Linked DNA regions of Sus scrofa. The protein of the gene in region 1 interacts with the protein of each later gene in a pairwise test. Links are inferred from orthologs where the notes say so. Each region holds a gene or a part of one and is shown in the gene's direction. Other genes may lie near its edges.

Region 1 (7,626 bases):
AAGTTGAATAAAACACACCAGCTTCCTGAAAATATTCATAATGCATTTTTTGGAAAACAAAATACATGCCTACTTTGTGCATATTTGCATTAACATGGCAAAGATTGTATGAAATACCTGTTTTTCAAAAAATAAAGTTTTAAAAGATTTAAGCTCTGATTTATCGAAGTTTCCAGAAAAATTAATTTTGGAATATGAATAATTTTTTAAAAAGCGTTAATCCAGAAGGTTTTTTTTAAAACTTAATTCTCAAATATATTTTACCCTCAGAGTTTAATAGTACTTTTGAATTAGCAGTGGAAATTTTACTTCCATGATTAAGTTCTTAGTATTAAGGCACAATTAAGCTTAATTTTGTAAATCTTTAAATAAGAACTCCTGTGGAATGTTACTCACATTTATGTTCCCTGGTGTATGAAAGCTATGAAGGAAAACGAAATGGCCAACCTGTTTTAATATCTGGAAATAAGATTGCATTTGTTGGATTATGTTAGGAAGATTTATGTTAACTGTTTAGTCATCCAACATGTTTCAAAAGATTCTGTCTTGCCTTTATTGTACAAAATGGGGCAAAAGGCTCCATCCAAGAAAGCCATGCTAAGTGTAGGTGTTTTTTGTTCTTATTAGGGCGACTGGAATTTTAGTTAAAGACCTTCCACCAGTGCTCGGTGTTAAGTTGCTGGTTAGGTCTGGGAACACATTCCTTGAGTAAGAGATACTCTGTGGAGAATCTGTGCTGTTTGAAAGCAGATCCTTCAGTTTTCACCTACTTGAATTGCACAAGCTGCTGTTGAAAGAGAAGTCTCTTCTGAAGTTGTACACAGGGAACTTGGATAAAAACCAGGCGCACTCTGTAGCAAAAGCTGATTTCCCAATGTACAAATGGCAGTTTTTAAACTCTAGTAACTGATGCCCTCTTCTTCGGAAGTGGATGTTACTGTACCTAAAGTACTGTTTTGCATTCAGTACTCTCTATATTCATCACGTGGTTGGTTGCTCGCTGTTTGCGACCTTCTGATTTTCTTTTGAAGAGGTAGGGAAGGGCCTACTCTTCAAACTCCAACTAAAATCTCCCCAAATGGGATATATCAACTGGCTGCATTTTACCTGCATAACCTGTTTTTCTCCCCAACATTTCCCTAAGTGGAACTTTACTGAAGAGTCAGTCCCCTTCCCTTGCAGAGGCTTTTTTTTTTTTTTTAATCTCCCTCCAAGTGTTTATACCTGATCAGATGCTTTATTTTTTTTCACAGTAAAAAAAGAAACTTACATTCTTATATCACAACAGAACAAAGGGTGGAAAAAAATGTATACATGTAAGTGTAACTTGGTCCCCATGCTGTACAGCGGGGAAAAAAAAAACACAATTGGTTAATAGTATAATAAAAAAATGCCACATGAGATACCAAAAAAACCCAAAAACAAACGATGGCATAATATAGAAGACTATAAAAAGTTAAAAGCTATGCTAAGTTTTCCTCAAAAAGACATCTGACCAGGTCAACATTTAGCATATTTCGAGCAATGAAAATGAAAGCATTTTTTAAATACATTTTTGTGAAGTCCTGGAGAGAAAAGATTTCTCAACACAGCTCATCTAGTTTTTGTTTTTGTTTGGCCGCTCCCCTGGCATTCATCTGCTTCTTAAATTCCAATTCATTCCACCCTTATGAGAGAGTTGACATCTTTCCTTAGCATGACCTCTAATGTAAAAAGATCTGTCAAAACAAGTCCCTTTTTGGAGAGGGAGTTCGTAGTTTACCCCACAAAGAATTTCCCCAAACACCCTATATAAACAAGCCGATTTTTTTAAGTCAATGCATTTTTCACAAGTTGTCGAACTACGCCAAGATTTTCTCCTACCCCCATCAAACTAAGGCCTTAAAGGGGAGTAACATTGCGGAAAAAAAATCTACATAAATAGCCCTATTCATTTGTCCGCGAAACCTCACGAGATGGGCACGAGTCATAAATCCAGGCTAAACTGCTCAAGGCTGCGGGAGCAGGGATCAGAAGGCGGGGCCGACGGGGAACAGCTGGGGCGAGGGCCACAGGCTGCTTCTGTTAAGAGGATCCCAGCCGGCCCCCTTAATCACAATGAAGTTAGCGTCACATGACCACCTCTGCCTTCCGCCTGATACTGGGTGGCATATTTCCTCGAGGACTAATTCCGGAGAGTCTCCTTGGCTGCTTTGAGGTCCCCCTGAAAGAGCGTCCGAGAGCTACGGTTCCCACAGGCCCCGGGGATACTGAGGCCACACCAGGCCCCGGGCAGCGGCCGTTCAACCGCTTCTGAAAGGCCTGGGCGGGGCGTCGCACACCTCCTGGGCGCTGATTGGTCATTCAGTGTCCCCGCCTCCTCGGCCCCGGCGTTCTCACTCTCCTTTGACCTCGGTTTCAAGACATGCGCTGGACAGCGGTTGGCCGCCCCGGCTTCAGCTTCATCTTGATTTGCCCAATGAGGAGCGAGCTTCGCGGGGTCTGTCGGGAAAGGCATCCAGCCTATATAAGCGGCTTGCGGGGCGTACCCTGATGCCAGGGTAGCCTTAAGGGGTTCGAGAGAGCTCTTGGTTTTGTGGCGTCTTTCGCTCCTAGAGACGACACCTCAGGGACGATGGCAGAGGGAGATAATCGCAGCACCAATCTGCTGGTGAGTCCTGGCGGCTTCGTCGTGAGGGAAATGCGCTGGGTTTCTGGATATTAGGCTCCATGGGACGGCGCTGCGGCTTCGTTCCTATCACCTGCCGCGGGCCCGGCCTCCTCTCCCGGTGCCCAGGTGCAGGCGACGACTCCTGCCCTTTGGATGTCGTGGGTGAGCCTTGCTTGGCGGTCACTAGTCGTGTCCACGCCTAACATCCCTTGGGGACGGTTCGCGACGGAGCGAGGGCGCGTGATCATTCACCGCGAATAGAGGTTGAGGAGGAAGCGAGAGAAGAGGGGCTGGGACCCGCCTGGGGTGCAGTCACTGGCTGAGGGCCGCGAGTGCCCTGTCGAGTGCTTCGGGGGGCCCAGGCCCCAGCGGTATCCGGGTTTTCCCTCTTTCATCTTAAGCAGGACATCCTTTCGCCCTTTTCCCCAGTATTTGGTCAGGGGTTGAGGGTCAAAGGGTTGCTGCCGATAATTTGTTAGAGCTGGCACAGCTTAACACGGCAGCGAGGCTGCAAACTCACCGCTGGGAACCGAAAGTAAGAGTCCAGCCGGAAGGACTATGGGAGGTCTCGGCGTTAGTCTGTAACTGATAAACCTTTGGGGAAGGGGGAGGGTCACGGGAGGACTTTCGAGTAAGCAGGGGTCTAAAGGAAATGCAGTGAGGTTCTATCACAGGCAGACAATTTTAACCTCACTGAGAATCACGCAGGATCTAGGCAAAAGGGAAGGAAGGATCAGTCCATTTTCTACGTTGCATTTTCCCCAGGGAGAGTGCTAATGAATTAAGTGACTTTGCAGGGCAGTTTTGATTGTGCATGATTTTCGTTTTGCATTGATTTTTAGAAACGTATGACCTCTGCCCCATGACACACACACAGCAAAAACCTCTTCTCTGTGGTAAGCCTAGTTAGCCCCAGCCAGCTTCGTTTTAAGAATTGATTGTAGCACAAAGAAGTTGCCCAAGTTTACACAGCTGTTGAGACAACCGATATGGGCTCTGCTCTGCTGCTCTCTCTGCAGAGCAGTGTGGCTTTAAGGACAGGCCTTTGGCCTTGGATTTGCCAGATTCAGATCTGTTAACCTCTGTGTATCTCAGTGTCCTTATCTATAAAATGAAAATAATAACATCTTCCTTTCAGTTTGTTACGAGAAATGATTAAAATATAAACACAGAAAACATTTAGCAGAGTTTCTGGCACATGATAATCTTTTTTAACTTATTAAACATAGTATATAAAGTCAGAAATATTGAGGTTCCACCTAAGTGATCAGTGTGGCACAGCATTTTTTTTTTTTTTTTTTTTTCTTTTTAGGGCTGCCCCCATGGCCTATGGAGGTTCCCAGGCTAGGCTACACCACAGCCACAGCAACATCAGATCCAAGCCAAGTCTGCAACCTACACCACAGCTCTTAGCAGTGTTGGATCCTAAACCCACTGAGCAAGGCCAGGGATCAAACCTGCGTCCTCACGGATACTAGTCAGATTCGTTTCTGCTGAGCCACGACAGGAACTCCACAGATGTCATCTTCAACAAGGTTAAGCGGCACTGTCTCCTATCATTTGCCTGTCTCCCTATAATAACAGTCATAAGGATACATGGGTTTCTTCCAATTTTTTTTTTTTTCCTCTACCAGAATCAGTTTAAAGGCTTTTTGTCACATTGGCTTCATCCTAGAAGTTTCCTTGCAGGTGATTGTCAGATTTGCAGAGAAATTTAAAGTCTAACCACAATGTCTGCTAAGTGTCAGAAGCATTTTATTGAGGTAAATTGGGCTTACTGTGCCTCATATAATTTGGTGAAAGCACCCGTAGTTTTCCTAATTGTGCAGATGATGCCAACATCTAAATGATTCCATTATACAGAGAGCTGTTTTGGAAACCGCTCTTCAGGAAGAGGCTTTCCTAATGGATTCAGAAGTAGGGGGTTAAGTCAGTGAAATGAAACAACAAATTAGTTGTAACCACCTGAAATGAGCAAACTTAAAGTGATGTAATTTCATTTTCAGAAAGCTGCCACTTAGTAGGACATGACTTTGGGAAAGCAACTTTTTTTTTTTTTTTTTGGCTGTGCCCTCCTGTGTATGGAAGTTCCCGGGCCAGGCCAAGGATTGAACCCACACGACAGCAGCAACCAAAGCCACTGCAGTGACAATGCCTTAACTCGATGCACCACAAGAGAATTTGGAAAGCAACCGTTCTGAGCTCACTTTCTTTTTACTGTAAAATGGATCTAATTATCCTTATTTTATGAGGTTCTATACGGGTTATTATGTACATAAAGAATAGCCCAGTGCTTAGAGTTGGAAGGTGACCATTAAGTGATAATTTTTCCCCCGTAATTTCTGGCTTTGGTATCAAAACTGCAGAGTTTTTTTTAAAGACTAACTTGTTTAAGATAGTGATTTGTGGAAGTTCCCATTGTGGCTCAGTGGTAATGAGTCCAACTAGTATCCATGTGGACGCTGGTTCGATCCCTGGCCTCATTCAGTGGGTTTTGGATCCAGTGTTGCTGTGAGCTGTGGTATAGGTCACAGATGCAGCTCGGATTCCACATTGCTGTGGCTGTGGCCTAGGCCAGTGGCTGCAGCTCTGATTCGACCCCTAGCCTGGGAACCTCCGTATGCCATGACTGTGGTCCTGAAAAGCCAAAAAAACCATAGTGATTTATAAGAGCTCTTTTACATGCTTGGTGCCTTAGAAGAATTTAACTCTCTAGGAGCCACGAAAATATGGAGATTAGTAAAATAATCCCTTTAAATGTTGCTCATATGTAGGCTGCAGAGACTGCAAATCTGGAAGAGCAGCTGCAGGGATGGGGAGAAGTGATGCTGATGGCAGATAAAGTCCTCCGATGGGAAAGAGCCTGGTTTCCACCTGCCATCATGGGCGTGGTTTCTTTGGTGTTTCTGTAAGTGAGATATTAAATTACTGTGGATTGTGCTTGTTACTAATAAAGACTCCAGTTCCATTTATGCAAGTGCCTGAAGTCTTTTGTAATGTATAATCTGTGAAGAATGCCTTTTCTTAGAACCGCAGGCCTGGTTTCCAGAATTTGTAGTACTTTTGTAAGCTCCGTAACCCAATGCAGTGAAATAAATCTAGGTCCTGCTGTACAGCACAGGGAACTATATCCAATCACTTGTGATGGAACATGACAGAAGATAACATGAGGAAAAGAATGTTTTGTATGTATATATGCCTGGGTCACTTTGTTGCACAGCAGAAATTGACGGAACATTGCAAATCAACTATACTTTGAGTAAAAATTTTTTTGAGGGAGTTCCCATTGTGGTGCAGTGGAAATGAATCCAACTAGGAACCATGAGGTTGCAGGTTCGATCCCAGGCCTCACTCAGTGGATTGAGAATCCGGCATTGCCATGAGCTGTGGTGTAGGTCACAGATGCAGCTCGGATCTGGCGTGGCTGTGGCTGTGGTGTAGCCCAGCGGCTACAGCTCCGATTAGATAGACCCCTAGCCTTGGACCTTCCATATGCCATGGGTGTGGCCCTAAAAGGACAAAAGACAACAACAACAACAAAATTTTTTTTTAAATCTATGGCTTAAACTTTGGGCCTTAAGAGCCTTTATGCTCCTAAAAAGTATTGAGTACCCCGAAAAGCTTTTGTCTCTTGATGTTTACATGAACCCTTGCAGCTCTGATGTCATCATGTCATGAAGCTTCCGGAAAACCACTTGTGAGAAAATTAGAATGGAAAGGGCAGATAATCTCTTTGAGAAGCAGAGGTCTGGATGAATAAACATCTTCAGCTAGGAATAATATGTTTTTATAACCTTTCTTTTTTTTTTTTTTTTTAAACAGGACTATCTACTATCTAGATCCATCTGTTCTGTCCGGTGTTTCCTGTTTTGTGATGTTTTTGTGCTTGGCTGACTACCTGGTTCCCATTCTAGCACCTAGAATTTTTGGCTCCAATAAATGGTAGGTGGAACAATGACTTGGCAGTCAAGTTTCTGAGAAGTTACTGAACCTGGTATCTGTGACTAGTATGCTGTAATTAAGCCCAGAGAATTGTCTTCACCGCCAGATACTGGGGGGTAGATTTATTGCTTGAAGTGAGGCTTTTTTAGGTAATGTTTTATCTAGGATTGCAAAACTCATCATGAGCTTTCCATAAAAGTAGTATGTCTACTTTTAGATTTTTTTCCGTTGATATTTAAGATAATATTAATTTTACAAATTACTTTTGAATAAATATGAGAACAGTAATATAGTTTTTTGGAGGTTTTTTTTTTTTGTCCCCCCCCCCCCCGGCCTATTCATTTAGCATCTATTTATTGAATATCTACTTTTATGTTAAGACACACTAACTGCCCTGGGTGCTGTGAAATAGTTTGAGTTTTAGGATCCTTTGTTTCAGGTTGACACAGTGCAGTGGTGGATGGCAAAATACACGCTAAGTGCTTTAGAATAGATTCAGGCTATATATACAAGTGGGTTATTGCTTTCATCTCTGCTCTTCTTTGAAATGGTTACTTATGAGTTCCCAAGATAAAGTTAAATGGCTGCAGATCCTATTATTTTTACCTTCCCTCTAGAAGGTTGCATTTCTCATTTTTGATCCTAATAGTGAACAAAACTAGATACTAGATTTTTTTTCCTGCTAGCTGCTTCTCTACCTTGGGTGTTTATTTTAATGTGATTAGTAGTCTACTTAGGCCTTTAGTTATTTTGTTCCCCTGATAATAGTGAATTATAAAATAATTCTGTAAAAACAACAATTTTAAACAGTAGGGTTTGCTTAAGTTATGGGATAATTAAGCATGTTTATTAAGATATTTCTGCCGCAGCAGAATGGATTAGTGTTAGGAAATGTCCTTTGAATTGTTTTTCTTGTGCAGTAATGAATTATGCCCCTGTTTGGGGGCACGCTTGTAACTATGTCATGTAACAACTTAACAGAATCAACCTCAGACCTTGACTTTGTTAGCAGGTGACATTCTAATCTGCTAGTT
Region 2 (7,488 bases), on another chromosome or scaffold:
CTGATAGTTTAAGATCATGTCTCCCTGTGCCTGCCATCAATTAGCAGTTGTGATCAAAATAATTTTACTTGACCGAGCAGTTCCGAACAAGTTCTGTATTTTCACTTTCAGTTTGAATATCGGTAGCATTGCTTTTTAGAACAATCTTCATCAGCCTTGGTGGGTTTTTTTTTTTTGGTTTGTTTTGCTTTCAGTGTTGGGTCCTGGATCTGACGGGCAGAGTATAAACAACATTATGTATGAAGTCACTTTCATCTCTTCTTTTTTTTTTTTTTTTTTTTTTTAGAAGATATTTTTATTTTTATTTTCTTTTGTCTTTTTGTTGTTGTTGTTGTTGCTATTTCTTGGGCCGCTCCCGCGGCATATGGAGGTTCCCAGGCCAGGAGTTGAATCGGAGCTGTAGCCACCGGCCTACGCCAGAGCCACAGCAACGCGGGATCCGAGCCGCGTCTGCAACCTACACCACAGCTCACGGCAACGCCGGATCGTTAACCCACTGAGCAAGGCCAGGGATCGAACCCGCAACCTCATGGTTCCTAGTCGGATTCGTTAACCACTGCGCCACGACGGGAACTCCCCTCATCTCTTCTTTTAAAATTAAAACTTCCTTCCACATCCTCCTCTTTCGGCATGGGGCTGCCAGCAGCCTTTCCTTTTTTCCCATCTTTCCTTCAAGACTGCTGCATTTCTTATTAGATAGCTCCTTCCCCAGACATACGGTGAAGAAATTTCTTTAAAAGAAACATGTTTCATGTACTACTTGGAAACCGTCATTTACAACAGACAGCTCTGGAAAATGACAGCAGAGAAAAGAACTTTGCTCAAGGTCATTGAGAGGAAAAAGCAGCAGAGCTGGATTCTTCCCAGACCTGACTCTGAGGCCAACTGCAGGCCTATGTAACACCTTGGCATTCGTTGAAAGCCTCATGAAACACGCTCGTCTCTGTAAATGATCAATAGCACTAGTCAGGATGCCTCTCTTGGACTGTTACTTTGTTGTTGCTGTTGTTGTTGTCTTTTTATCTTTTCTAGGGCCCCTTCCCGAGGCATATGGAGGTTCCCAGGCTAGGGGTCTAACCAGCTGGCCTATGCCACAGCCACAGCAACACGGGATCCGAGCCATGTCTGTGGCCTACACCACAGCTCACAGCAACACTGGATCCTTAACCCATTGAGTGAGGCCGGGGATCATCCACAACCTCGTGGATTCATGAACCACTGTGCCACGATGGGAACTCCTGGGCTGTTACTTTGAAAACTTATTAAGAGAAAACATGTACAGCGTCTTAGGAAAATAAAACAAGAAAATGGCTTTTTAAACAAAAAAGTAGTTCTCTGCTTCCTCCCTCCTTTCATTCCAAAGAGAGCCGTTTTTTAAAAATTGTGGTAAAGTAGACATAAATGAAATTTACTATTTTAACCATCAATGGCACATCCATTCACATTTAAAAAAAAAATTTATGGCTGCACTTGTGGCGTATGGAGGTTCCCAGGCTAGGGGCTGTATCAGAGCTGCAGCTGCCGGTCAATGCCACAGCCTCCACTGCCTCAGCAACACTGGGTTGGGGCCGCATCTGCAACCTATGCCACAGCTCAAGGCAACGCTGGATCCTGAATCCACTGAGCGAGGCCAGGAACTGAACCCACTTCCTCACAGACACTACATCTGGTTCTGTGCTACCACGGGAACTCGCATTCACAAAGGCCTGCCAGAGCAGTGCCCACCTCTCGCTTCACAGGCCCAGAGAGGAGAAATGACTTCCCCAGGGTCATCCAGCAAGCTAGTAGCAAAGCCTGCTGAGCAGTTCGGGTACCCACTCCTGGGCTACTCCCCATTCCCTGGGCTGAGCTGTCAGACTCTGTGAGTTAGTCTCTTAGGAAGGCATATGCCCTGTGAGCCCAGCTCCTCTTCATCTCGCTTTCTCCGTCTTCCTTTCCAGGCAGCTGAAGTTCGGGGACCATCCCCAAGAGCCAGGGTTTCAGGGGGAATCCACAGTCACTTTTGGGATCACAAAGAGAGGAAACAGGAGTCCCCATTGTGGCGCAGTGGTTAACGAATCCGACTAGGAACCATGAGGTTGCGGGTTTGATCCCTGGCCTTGCTCAGTGGGTTAAGGATCTGGCGTTGCCGTGATCTGTGGTGTAGGTCACAGACGCAGCTGGAATCCCAGGTTGCTGTTGCTGTGGTATAGGCTGGCGGCTACAGCTCTGATTAGACCCCTAGCCTGGGAACCTCTGTATGCCACGTGTGTGGCATGTGTGTGGCCAAAAAAAAAAAAAAAAAAAAAAAAAAAAAAAGGGAGAGGAAACATAGCCTCCTTCTCATGACCTCAGTTTGGAGCCAAAGTTCCCAGATAAAGGCAAAGGTCTCCTCCGGCCAGGTTCAGCCCTCAGCACCCATTCCGCCTGACCCACTGTATCCCTGCTTCTGGGTCAGGAGAGGGGAAAGCACCCTGCCAGGGCCTTTCCCCCATAGCTCTCCCTCTCCTTCTCTGGAAAAGGGTCAAGGCTACACCAAGACACTGTGGACCAGGCACTCTGGTCTCCAACACCACCTTTCCAGCCAGGTCCAGAGATAAATAGTCACCTTCTTTCCAACCTGCAGACACACTGGGGCCTCAGAGGATCATAAGGAAGGCCTGGGGGGTTAGAGAGAGGGTGATGGGTGGAGCCTTGGCACAGTTGCTTTTCATTCTCATTCAGGGACAGCCTCGCGGGAACTGTGCCTTAGGGCCCCCACCCCGCCGCTAGGGCTGGCAGATGGGGGGAGAAAAACACAGGTTTCCACCACCTTAACGGGCCGGCAGCTCAAGGCAGGGGGAGGGAACGCAGGCTGCCCCTTGGGACACGGGAGTACCAACTGGAGCTGGCGTTTGTCCTCAGCCAGGACTCGCCCCGCGGTGGGGTGGGGGGTCCTCACCCGCTGCACCTTTTGTCCCGGCTGCCTCCCCTCCCCCGCGGGCCCTGTGCTCCAGCTGGCAGGCCTGGGGGAGCCTCGCACCGGCTCCCCCTGGCCTCTGGCCCACAACCCGGGAACCAGCACGTGACCTGTGCGCTAAGCCGGCTCTTGGGGGGGGGGGGATGGACGCGTCTGGCCGCGCCGCTGGTTCCCCCTTTACGAAATCAACACGTTCCTGCGCCCCCAAACTCAGGCCCCTAGTGGTTGGAAGGGGAGAGCTGCCGGGGTCCTGCGGCAGGGACTGTCGGGTCCAGAGGGGAAACCAAGGCAATTCTTCGAGGGTGGGTGGGGGGCGGGGCAGGGAAGCGGGTCCCAGGGAAGGTGGCCCGGGATCGGGCACTTCCTCCACGCCTCGTTTGGGCCTCGCCTCGCCCCGCCCCGGCCGGCCCCAACTTCTCCGCAACCCATAGGCAGAGGCGACCCTCCCGCCTCCCCGCGCTTCGCCCCGCCTCGGCGCGCTTTAAAAGTTTACTCCGGGCCGGGACGCTGACGTCGCGAGCCATGGCCGTCTACCTCGGGATGCTGCGCGTCGTGAGGCTGTGCGCCGGGAGGCCGGAGGTGCTGGGGGCCCGGGGCGGCCTCTCCCGGGTTTGGCAGGAAGCGAGGCTGTGGGGCGTCCGTCCCCTCAGGTACGCGGCCCCGGGAAGAGAAGGGACGGGCCAGTCCCCTGGGTGGGGATCCTGGGCGGGGGGCGGCGGGGGGGGGGGCGGTCTGCAGAGCCTCGCAGGGGGCAGATGGCACTCAAGCTGGGAGACTCGCGGCGGCTGCACCCCTGGGCAGCACAGGCGAGAGAGCAGGTACCCTGAATCTGGCACCTAGGCAACAGGAAATGCTGGCCTGGCCCACACAGGCTGGGGCTGCAGCTGCAGGGACTCTGCACAGACTCTGGGTTCTGGTTCAAGACTCTAGATTCTTCCAGTCGCGGGCATACTGATGGCCGGGAGTGGGAGCCATTAGCAGTCTGGCCCAAGGCCTGGACTCTCTCCCCAGGACACTCCTTCTGAGCTGGAACCTTTTCATGGTTAAACTTGGGGATCTTCCACCCCGTCTTGTGCGCCCCAGGTCCTGAAGCTCAGCAGTCTCCCCTCTCCTCCTCTGCTGCTGATAAACCCTGCTGGGCTCCTTGCTGCTTCCTTGGCCTCTTTTCTTCTGCTCTGGTGAAGAAGGAAAGTGCCCTGGCAGATGAAGGAAGTGTTTTTCTAGCAAGTGTGCTGCCTCTAAAGCAGCAGCGTAAGCAATACTACCTCCCTCTAAGAGTGCAGATGTGAAAATGTGTTTGGGAAGCAGGGCTGGGCTCCCGCTAGTTATTAGCGGTGGCTTTTATCTTTAGCACCCAGCAGGGGGAGGCCTGGCCACCACTGAGCCTGCCCTGCCACCCACCTAGGCCAGGTACTGGCTCTGGGGTCAGGACAGGGTTTTGGACCCCAGGTGCCATGTAGGCCTGGGCATTGAAAAGGGAGGAGAAGCTCGAAGAGGTTTCTTGTCTTGCCGGCATGGTGTAAACAAAACGAAAAAAAAAAAAAAAAACAGATGAGGGAAGTTGATGGGAGGTCCAAACTCCTCTTTGGCTGGAACTCTGGAGATCACAGTGTTTTGAACTAGCTGGTAGAAAGCATGCAGTGCTTTCGGATTGCTGGGCCTGATTTTTCTGGAGGTGGCTCAAGAAGGTCAGCAGATGGGATTCTGAGGACGAGAATGCTTCTCTGCTGGCTCCGTCACTCACGACCTCCTGCTAAGTGCCTTCCTAGGCAAGCTCTGCCATCACCACCCCACAGCCTTCAAGCCTCACTTCTGGACTCCGGGCGGGGGCGGGGGTGGGTGTACATGTTTCATGATGTACATCAGGCCACCTTTGCAATCGTTCTGGACCTTTGACTTTTTTTTTATGTGTAAACAAAGCAGGTCCCTTACTTGCTACAGTCCTGTAACCTTAGGGTAGGGGTACTAGGCCTCCGAGAAATTTCTGACTCTGTGTCAGGAGGAGAGCCATGTGTCCAGAGAAGAATTTCCTGAGCATCTGGCCTAATTCCCTCCCATCCTTTCCATGCACTCGTGCATGAGCCCTTCCCTACTGACTCTGGTCGTTTGGCCTGATTTTGCTCCTCCTGTCCTCTCGGAAACCCTCAGGAGTCTCAAGCATTCAGCCTATACTCCCGAGAGCCTTCATCATGACCAACCCCTGATGGGTGCCGTAGTTATGAAAGTCATAGAACCCAGTCCTCCGGGGACTTGTAGCCTAGTACAGAGACAAGTCAGGATGACCACTGCTCCGTGTTCTGGGTGCCGTGTGGAAAGCTCCTGGACTTTTGTCCTCTGCTCTTTCTGACCTGGTCCCATATAGCTCGCTTTCTTGCTGACCAGCACCCATGTCTATTCCTTATCAGATCCTTAGTTTTGCCTGTTAGGAAAAAGCAAGAATTTTGAAGCCAGGCTGCTTTGGGTTATAGCCCTAGTGCCTCCACCTACTTGCTGTGTGACTTGAGCATGTGACCTGAGCCAGGAGCCTGTGGCGTTGTCACTAATGGTACCTACTTGCTGAATTGACAAAGGCTTGCTCCTCTCAGCCTTTGCTTTGGGGCAGGCTTGGTCCCTAAGAACCTCCCAGTGGTGTCTAGGTAGGACTTCCAAGTGATTTGAAGGGAGGAAAGGACCCCCTCCTCAGTGACCTCTTTCTTGCACCTGGTCCTCTTTCCAGATCAGTTGCCAAAATGTTGGGCTCTGCCCAGCCCCAAGTCTAGTGCCTGGATCTGCTGGACACTCCTCTATCCATCAAGGTCAGGGCTGTCCAGAGCCCTTTTTCCCCAGAAGGAAAGAGGAAGCTGTCCATTGCTCTCCAGATCTCCTGAACTATCAACCCCTTCCCCTTGTCCACACACACGCTATTCCCCAGGAATGGGAAATGGTCTAGTCTGGGGCTTCCAGGAGCTTTGGAGGGAGGAATCCCATGCTGATTCCTTGGGGAAGCCTGTGAGGCAGCTGCACCTGGGTTATTGCGAGCACTTAGGGCTGGGGAAGACAGAAAGAACAGTGGTTTAGGAGTTCCCATCGTGGCTCAGTGGTTAACAAACCCAACTAGTATCCGTGAGGATGCAGGTTCGATCCCTATCCTTACTCACTGGGCTAAGGATCGGTGTTGCCGTGAGCTGTGGTGTAGGTCACAGGTGCAGCTCGGATCCCGCCTTGCTGTGGCTGTCACGTAGGCTGGCAGCTACGGCTCCAATTTGACCCCTAGCCTGGGACCCTCCATATGTGCAGGTGCGACCCTAAAAAGACAAAAAAAAAAAGACAAAAAAAAAATACAAAAAAAAAAAAAAGAAAAGAAACTATAAATTTAGACATTGTAATCTGTGAATGATGCAGGTATGCAGTCTACTGTGGCGGGTGCAATGGGGGATACAAGGATGGATGAACTTGTTTTCAGTGACTTCTTTGACTAAAAGGGCTCTACAGGGAAAGATCATAGACCCACTGATTCAAGGAAGTAAGGATGCTGTACCAGGGAGGGTGTCAATCAAAGCAGGGAAGAATCTGACTGGTAGGAATGGGACTGGGTAAGACTTTCTAAAGAGCCCAGAATATGAGCCTGATCTCCAATGACAGGGCTGTAGTTTGAAGGATGAAGTCTATATACTTGTATGAACGCTTGCTTGCCCTAAACTCTTTTGAACCTTGGATATGAAGCCTTGCTAAGATCTCTCACATTATTTATTTATTCAGTCTACAAAGATTTTGGAGCCAGACAGATCTGTGTTCAAAGAACCACTTTCTAGCTGGTAGCTTCCGGAATCAGTTGAACTTGAGACCTTTGTTGTTTGTAAACGGTGTTGTTGTGAGAGTTAAGTGAGGTCACATAAGAATGTTGTTTTTTTTTTTTTTTTTTCCCCCGTCTTTTGTCTTTTTAGGGCTGCACCTGGGGCACATGGAGATTCTCAGGCTAGGGGCTGAATCACAGCTGTAGCTGGTGGCCCCTGCCACAGCCACAGCAACTCGGGATCCAAGCCACGGCTGCAACCTACACCACAGCTCATGGCAATGCCGGATCCTTAACCCACTGAGCGAGGCCAGGAATTGAACCCGAGTCCTGATAGATGCTAGTTGGATTCATTAACCACTAGGTCACAACGTGAACTCCCTATTTTTTTTTTTTTTTTAAGAAAAATCTTTTTCTTTTTTTTTTCATCTTTTTTTTGTCTTTTCTAGGGCTGCACCCACAGCATATGGAGGTTCCCAGGCTAGGGGTCTAATCAGAGCTGTAGCCACTGGCCTATACCACAGCCACAGCAACACCAGATCCGAGCCACGTCTGCACCCTACACCACAGCTCACGGCAACACCGGATCCTTAACCCACTGAGCGAGGCCAGGGATCGAACCTGCAACCTCATGGTTCCTAGTTGGATTTGTTAACCACTGCACCACGACGGGAACTCCCAGAAAATTCTTAATTCGTGGCCTGACTCTAAGGAGACCTTCAACCCATTGCATTAATGATAGGGCTTGTGCAATAATGGCTTTGGACATTCCTACAAT
Region 3 (7,404 bases), on another chromosome or scaffold:
TGAGCCGCATCTGGGACCTACACCACAGCTTGTGGCAATGCTGGATCCTTAACCCATTGAGTGAGGCCAGGGATTGAACCTGCATCCTCGCTGACACTGTGTCAGGTTCTTAACCCACTGAGCCACAAGAGGAACTCCAGGGAAAACTTTCACTTCTCCCTAACTATCTTAAAGAATGGAGGCAGGGGACTTGTACCAGAAAAAGAGCTACTACCAGAGATAACTTTTTTTATCTGAACGACTTATCAGGATGACTAGGCAAACTTTTTTTTTTCCCTTCATCTGTGGCATGTGGAAGTTCCTGGGTCAGGGATCAAACCTGTACTGCAGTTGCTGCCTGTGCCAGAGCTGAGGCAACGCTGGATCCTTAACCCACTGTGCCACAAGGGAACTTCCTGGGCAAACTTCTAATTACCAAACACCTGCTCTCCTTCTAGTCCTGTGAATTGCCCTACCCTACTTTGAAGCCCCAGGCTCCTAGCCCAGTCTTCAGCTCAAGATGGCATATGAGTCTCCACTGCCTAACTTGCCCTTGGGTATCATTTTTATGGGGCTCCTCTAAGTACAAAATTGTTTTTTCTCCTGTTAATTTGTCTTACTTCAGCCAAAGAACCTAGAAAAGAAGGGAAAACTTTTCTGCCATTATAGGAAAATGAAGTATTCACCAGTGAGCTTGATGGCAACTTTGCAAGACTGATGAATTCAGTGATGCTTTTAATAAATGTGACTTTTTTTTTTTTTTGGCTTTTAGGGGTCGCACTCGCGGCATGTGGAGGTTCCCAGGCTAGGGGTCCAATCGGAGCTAGTTGCCAGCCTACACCACAGTTCACAGCAACACCAGATCCTTAACCCACTGAGTGAGGCCAGAGATTGAACCCACAACCTCATGGTTCCTAGTCAGATTCGTTTCCACTGTGCCACCATGACGGGAACCCCTTAAATGTGATTTTTAATCACATTTTAATAAACGTGATATTTAAAATACTGAAAAGTGGAATTCCCGTGGTGGCGCAGTGGTTAATGAATCTGACTAGGAACCATGAGGTTGCGGGTTCGATCCCTGCCCTTGCTCAGTGGGTTAATGATCCGGCGTTGCCATGAGCTGTGGTGTAGGTCACAGACATGGCTCGGATCCTGCGTTGCTGTGGCTCTGGTGTAGGCTGGCAGCTACAGCTCCGATTCGACCCCTAGCCTGGGAACCTCCATATGCCGAGGGAGCGGCCCAAGAAATGGCAAAAAGACAAAAAAAAAAAAAAACTGAAAAGTGAAATACATTAATATTTGGAAGATCTACATTACTCAGAAAACCAGTATTTTCCAAATGGTTTCAGATTTCCCATTGCAACTAACCTTAAAGAAACTACCATTTAGAGTTCCCTTGTGGAGCAGTGGGTTAAGGGCCTGGTGTGTCACTGTAGTGGCCCCAATTGCTTCTGTGGCAATGGTTTGATCCCTGGCCTGGGGAACTTCCACATGTTGTGGGTGAGGCCAAAAAAGAAAAAGAAAAAAAAATTACAATTTGATGAGTTTTGCTAGTATACAATAAGAGTATCCACAATTATCGAAGGCTAAAGATACTTCTCCCTTGTCATCTATGTACCTGTGTAAGACCAGATTTTCTTCATTTCCTAGTCCAAAACAAAATCACAAGAGAGAATGGGGAAGCTAATACAAGAATTCAGCTGTCTTCTATTATGCCAAACATGAAAGAGATTTGCAAAATGGTAATAGAATAACATTCTACTCGATAATTTTTTTGGGTTTTGGAAAGTGTAGTTATATTTCATAAAATAAATTACGTTCACATGTAATGGTTTGTTATTAGTTTTAGGTGAATAGATACGTTTTTCTAATTTCTCAGTTTTAATTTCTAATCCGGTGAACATCCCACATAAACAAAAGCTCTTTGGGGTCCTTAAATATTTGTAAGAATGTAAAGGGATCCTGAGACCAACAAGTTTGAGAAAAGCTGCTTTGGGGTACGTGGACCTTACCTTATGAGATTTCTCCACCTTACAGAAGAGGAACTTAAGACATAAAGATTTAAGATCACACGGTCAGCGTAGTGCTGGTCATTGTACCCAGGTCTTTAAACTCCAGAGCTCGTATTTGCGACTGCAACTTTTCCCTTGATATTAGCTTTTCTAAAATTATTTTTAAGCAGATAGTTAAAAGGCATTTCAACAACATAAACATCGTAGTCAATGTATTTTTCTTTCTTACTAACTGGCTGGACGATCTTTCCTAGGGCTTGCTCCGCAAGTGAAACCGGTGTTTGCTGCAAAGTCCTCAGCCGGTTTTCGCTCCGACAATCTGGTCTTCGAATCTGAGTTGGTGTTTCCTTGGTAAAGCCGGGGAACTGGAGCCAGGGTTCACATGGGGACTCGCCCAGGCTCAGCGAGGTTCCCACGCTTTGGACTCTGCCACACTCTAGACCGCTGATCATCCCTTCACACTCTGCCCCGGGACCCACTTTGGGATGTTTCGGGGTTGTTCCTTGGCCACTGATTGGCTGGGCCTGACAACGATGGGTGGGATGCGGCTCTGGATTGGACGTCAGAGCCTCTTGTCTCCCCACGCCCACGTCCACCCTGCAGCCTCCCAGGGGAGAGGTAGGAATAGCTACTCCAGCAGTGGCCAGCGCTGGGCGGAGCGCACCGCCGGGGCGAGGCTGCCACTGAGAGCCCGGGCCTGCGGGGCGGGGCGTCTGGGCACCCGGGATTGGCGCGCCGGCAACTTTCTCCCGTCGTGCATCGGGGCGCCGGCAGCTCACCCGGAAGGAGAAGCCGGGACTCTGACTATATGTTGGGCTGTCAGCGGTGTCGTTGTGGGGAGTGGGCGCTGCTTTCAGGTGAGGGGGAGTGGGCGGGTCCGCGGGGAGTGGGTGCTGCTGTCAGGTGAAGGGGCGTGGGCTCTGGTCTTAGGTAAGGCCTGCAGGCTTGAGCGTCAGCAGTGGCGCTTAGGGTGGGGACCTTGCTGGACATCCTGAGGAAGGAACCGACTCCTCTCCAGAGATGAAGGCAGGGCTAGCTCAGTATCCGAGGAAGGAAACCGGCTTTTCCACTTATTTATAAAGTGTAAAGCATCTTTCCTTCCCACTCCTCAGGCTTAGTAGGCAAAAGGGAGTAAGGACTATGTGGCCTTTTTTGCTCCTAGTTCGTTAGGAACACAGGGGGTGTGGCCGGAGTAAAAGTTTGGAGACTTTTAGCCAAACGCTAGGACTAAGACTAATGACACATATTTTACGAGGACCCAGAAGACTCTTGCACTAGATTGTGGTCGCCTTTGTGTCTCAGCTTGCAAGTGGAGAGAGTGGCAAGTTGCAGATCACCAAAAGATGGAGCATAGCTGCTTGGTTGAGAACAGGCAGAGCTTGGTCAGACAGGAGAGCTCCTTCTACCACCTGTGAGTGTTTCTCCGAAGCAGAGTTTTTGAGTTGCCATCTGGCACCAAGAGCTGAAGGCTGAGTAAGCAAGGATGAGCGTCTTGGTGGCTCAGTATACTTTTTATCACCTGATTTTTTTTTCTTAACCTGTCTCTTGAAGTAGTTTAAATCTGAGGGAAAATGGTGGAGTTAAAGCCTTGAATTGCTACCTTGAATTGTTGAGGCATTGGAAAGCTTTACAAGGAATCTACCCTATAAACAAACTGGGTTTTCCTTGGAGGTCCTGGGAAAAGCAAAGGAAAACTTCAAATGTGATTGTAGGGTCGCAGGAAGCTACACTTCCTGGTGCTGGTGCCAAGTAAGTAGCTGAAACTATACTTAGTCAGATGACACATGGATCCATCTCCTAGATCATGGAGCTAAAATTAAGAACTTCCTTCTTCCCTCCAAGGGCTGAAATGAGCTTTATTTCCTCCTAAGGAGTGCACAGGGAGGAAGCTGATGGAGAATAGTAGTTGCTGAAAATTATTACTTGAAGTCTAGGTTTTTGTGGCCCCGTTGTTTCTAAGGAAAGTTACCATTGAAACTTTCTTAGTGCTTTGTGAACTTAGACTTAAGTTTATACCATCTTGGAGATCCTAGGATTTTTAAAGCCAGTTTATAGCTTTTAGTTTCTAAGTGGTATGATTCCCAAAGGAAAGGAGGGGAACTTGCTTTTGGAGGTGGTTCAGAGTCCTAGGCAAACTCTTCTTGAGCCTGAGAGTGATGACCATTAAGTTACTAAACTATGGTCCTGAATTTGGGAAACCTTTCAAGGCATTGTGGATGTTCGAGCTCTTCTGAGTGTGTGGATTTCCTTGTTAGCATCTCTCCTGTTGTTCCTTTTGTAGGAAAAACGGTTCAGTGTATTTAACTGTCTGCTCCTGTGCTGGTAATTAACCAATGCCTGAAAAGAGAAAAGAAAAGATGTTTCGTTTTAATATGAGGAGATTAGTTGTTCACAGTGAGTTGGCCTGCCTTTTTGGGTCACAGCCACTTGACTGCTTACATGCAGGACTGCTTACATGCATCAGTGGCCATGGAACTGGACAGTCCTGCCTTCCAGTTCAGGACTCTTTGGCGGTAGTGACCGCATCAAATGAAAAATCAGAATGTCAGCATGAATACTGTTAAAGATGATATCTCAATCACAAAATTTCCTGTTTGTTCAGCTCTATAGCCCAATTTTGGTGTATATCATGCAGTTTAATCTCTGCATGCAGTGCCGGTGTGTGGCGAGCCCTTCTGGTATACCGGAAAGGATTGGAAAAGCTGTGTGCTTTGCTAATTTTGTGGCGTAAATGAGTTCCCCTTCTCTTGAAATGTTAGCCTTGTGTTAGCACAACATAAAATAGAAGGAAACTCATTACACGCTCTTCTAATGGTAAGGCAGAACTAATAAGAGAATGTGTTTAAAATTAATTGTGGGACTGTAAAAACGAGTGGGTGTGTGAATGGGCATGAGGGGAGGAGAGGGAGAGCTTAGCGATAGTCTTGTTTTCCCAGGAGCCAGCCCGGATCATTTGTTGGCAGTACATATTGGCTGAAGTCAGTTTTCATTTCAAGGTAAATTGGAAAGGGAAATTAAACCTTATTGTTCCGCTCTTAAGAGAGGAGAAGGGGGTGGAGGCGGCAGCCAGAGTGGATGCTGTTGGAGTGGTTCTAGGAGTAACAAGATTAGTGCTGTATTTTAACAGAAGGTGACATCATGGGCCCCTTTGGACTTGAGTAACCCTGTGCTGCAGCCTTCATGGTCCCCTTGTCGGAGTGGGCGATGTCGCTGCACATGTAAACTGCCACATTGGGGGAAATCAGTGGCTTAGGCTTTAATGAATCTTTGCAAAGGAGCGGAAAACATCCTGAGTCGACCTGTGCAGCTGTGGGGTGCTTGGGCAGAGGTGCAAACCGCATATCGAGAGAGGAAATGATTAGAACCATTGGCTTGGGTTCCAGAGATTGGATTAGATAAGGGAAGGTCATTGCTGGGCAGCCCGCTCAGGTGCCCCCGGAACTCTCTGACCCTGAGAGGTACCTTCGGGGGCGGGTGTGTGTGTGTGTGACTGTGCTTAGCAAGACAAAAGATAGACTTAGGAGCTTTGGTGTGTGTGTGCGGTTTTGGTTGTCTCTAGATAGCCAGAAGGGGGCGATGTCGGGCTCACTTAGAGAGCTGTGCTGTGTGCGCCCACAGACACTGCTGGGCATCGCTGGTGTTTTCAGGCAGAAAGCTTTTAGAGCCCACCTGCCTGTTCTGGCTGCCTGAGAGGACATTGTGCAGACCTGAACGTGCTTTTTAGCTAGAGGCGGCTTGGGTCAGGGTCTCCACCAGGGACTAAGAAGGGAGGCAAATCCCACAGGGCTTTTAGCTTGGCACCACGCTTCTGTGGGGGGGATTTTTTTTGCTTCCTCTTAAGTTTTACTCAAGAACAAAAAAAGTTGTCTGTGTTTCCCCAGGGGAGACTGATGAAAAATTTTCAGGGTTTTGCCCTGGCAGAGAGAAGTAAGGGTGGAAGCCAACTAACGGTGATTGATCCTGTGTCTCTGCCCTTTGCCAGATGTTTCCTACCAATGGGCTTTTGGTGTAGGATGTTGGAGAACCAAGAGCAGGAGGTAAGCACGTAGTTTCTGGGGAACAGGTGGGTTAAAGTTTGAGGGCATGTGGGAGGTTCAGATATTGCTGGGCTGTGTTCTTCTGACAGTAAGGCCTTGGTGGTTCTGATGAGCTCAAAGTCAAGCCAAGAGAAGGAAATCAACAGTAAAGGCATTACTGGGAAACGAGGTTCCATTTTCACAAGCTTTTCCATTCCTTGGAAGGTACTAGAATATAAGCTTCATAAGGGCAAGGATTTTTGTCTCTTGTTCATGTTCTATCCCCAGTGCCTTCGAACAGTGCCTGCCACAAAGAGGGTGATCAATAAATATTTGCTGAATTGAATGAATAAATGAACAAATGAGCAAAATTGGTGCCGAGTGAAAAATCTGGCAACTTGTGTGTCAAAGCTGCCTTCTTGTGTGGATGAGCTGAAGCTCAAAGAGCATTTCTTTCTTTTTTCTTTTTCTTTTTTTTTCATTTTAGGGCCACACCTGTGGCATGTGGAAGTTCCCAGGCTAGGGGTCGAACAGCTGTAGCCACCAGCTTATGCCACAGCCACAGCAATGAGGGATCCGAGCCTCATCTGCGATCTATACCACAGCTCATGGCAATATCAGATCCTTAACCCACTGAGCGAGACCAGGGTTCGAACCCACGTCCTCGTGGTTACTAGTCGGGTTTGTTTCCACTGCACCATAATGGGAACTCCTCAAGGAGCATTTCTTACCTGCAGGAGGTGATCACTGTGCGTGTTCAGGACCCCCGAGTGCAGAATGAGGGCTCCTGGAATTCTTATGTGGATTATAAGATATTCCTTCACGTAAGTGCATCCAACTCAGTACTGGGGTCAACACCTTCAACCAGGGCTGAGGGCCAGTGCTGAGACAGGACCTGTCCATGGATGTTTTGACAGAAGAAAAGGAGGGAGGAGAGGAAAGAGCCTGGGGTTTGTCTGAGAGTTGCTTTCAGGCTGCCTGGTGGCACCTTGCTCTGCTTGGAGCCCCTGGCTGTGGCCTGGTGGCTTGGGTCCTCAGTGAGAGTGACAATGGGGCGTTCAGGTGAACATGAGCTTTTTCCACTAAACCCTTTGCATGTGCTTCCTCCTGTAGACCAATAGCAAGGCCTTTACTGCCAAGACGTCCTGTGTGCGTCGCCGCTACAGGGAGTTTGTATGGCTGAGAAAGCAGCTACAGAGAAATGCTGGCTTAGTGTGAGTTTGCTCTTGTTTTTCTTTCTTGGGTCTGAGACTGGCTTTTTAGGTGCTGACTTTGGCAACTGGAATTTACAATGAGAAAAAACTTGGCAACTTGCAACACGTACTAAGGAAATTGAGAAATGTGTTCTTCAATTATGTTTTCAAGTCAGTGAAGAAAGTAAAGACAGAGTTCTT

What was found.
Region 2: the proteins of ARL6IP1 (region 1) and ACSF2 interact in binary tests that used the Homo sapiens proteins (3 or more experiments, as listed by UniProt). The two-hybrid records come from large-scale screens. The link is inferred for Sus scrofa from reciprocal best matches to the Homo sapiens genes ARL6IP1 and ACSF2.
Region 3: the proteins of ARL6IP1 (region 1) and SNX11 interact in binary tests that used the Homo sapiens proteins (3 or more experiments, as listed by UniProt). The two-hybrid records come from large-scale screens. The link is inferred for Sus scrofa from reciprocal best matches to the Homo sapiens genes ARL6IP1 and SNX11.

The regions. Positions count from the first base shown.
Region 1 is NC_010445.4:26,758,110-26,765,735, forward strand, and holds the start of ARL6IP1 (ADP-ribosylation factor-like protein 6-interacting protein 1), read left to right. Parts: upstream 1-2,535; 5' UTR 2,536-2,614; coding exon 2,615-2,650; intron 2,651-5,424; coding exon 5,425-5,558; intron 5,559-6,472; coding exon 6,473-6,592; intron 6,593-7,626. UniProt on the Homo sapiens protein: Positively regulates SLC1A1/EAAC1-mediated glutamate transport by increasing its affinity for glutamate in a PKC activity-dependent manner.
Region 2 is NC_010454.4:26,710,487-26,717,974, forward strand, and holds the start of ACSF2 (acyl-CoA synthetase family member 2, mitochondrial), read left to right. Parts: upstream 1-3,303; 5' UTR 3,304-3,460; coding exon 3,461-3,588; intron 3,589-7,488. UniProt on the Homo sapiens protein: Acyl-CoA synthases catalyze the initial reaction in fatty acid metabolism, by forming a thioester with CoA. Has some preference toward medium-chain substrates. Plays a role in adipocyte differentiation.
Region 3 is NC_010454.4:24,348,594-24,355,997, forward strand, and holds the start of SNX11 (sorting nexin-11), read left to right. Parts: upstream 1-2,706; 5' UTR 2,707-2,851; intron 2,852-4,930; exon of another isoform or gene 4,931-4,990; intron 4,991-5,875; 5' UTR 5,876-5,884; coding exon 5,885-6,031; intron 6,032-6,747; coding exon 6,748-6,834; intron 6,835-7,123; coding exon 7,124-7,224; intron 7,225-7,404. UniProt on the Homo sapiens protein: Phosphoinositide-binding protein involved in protein sorting and membrane trafficking in endosomes. Regulates the levels of TRPV3 by promoting its trafficking from the cell membrane to lysosome for degradation.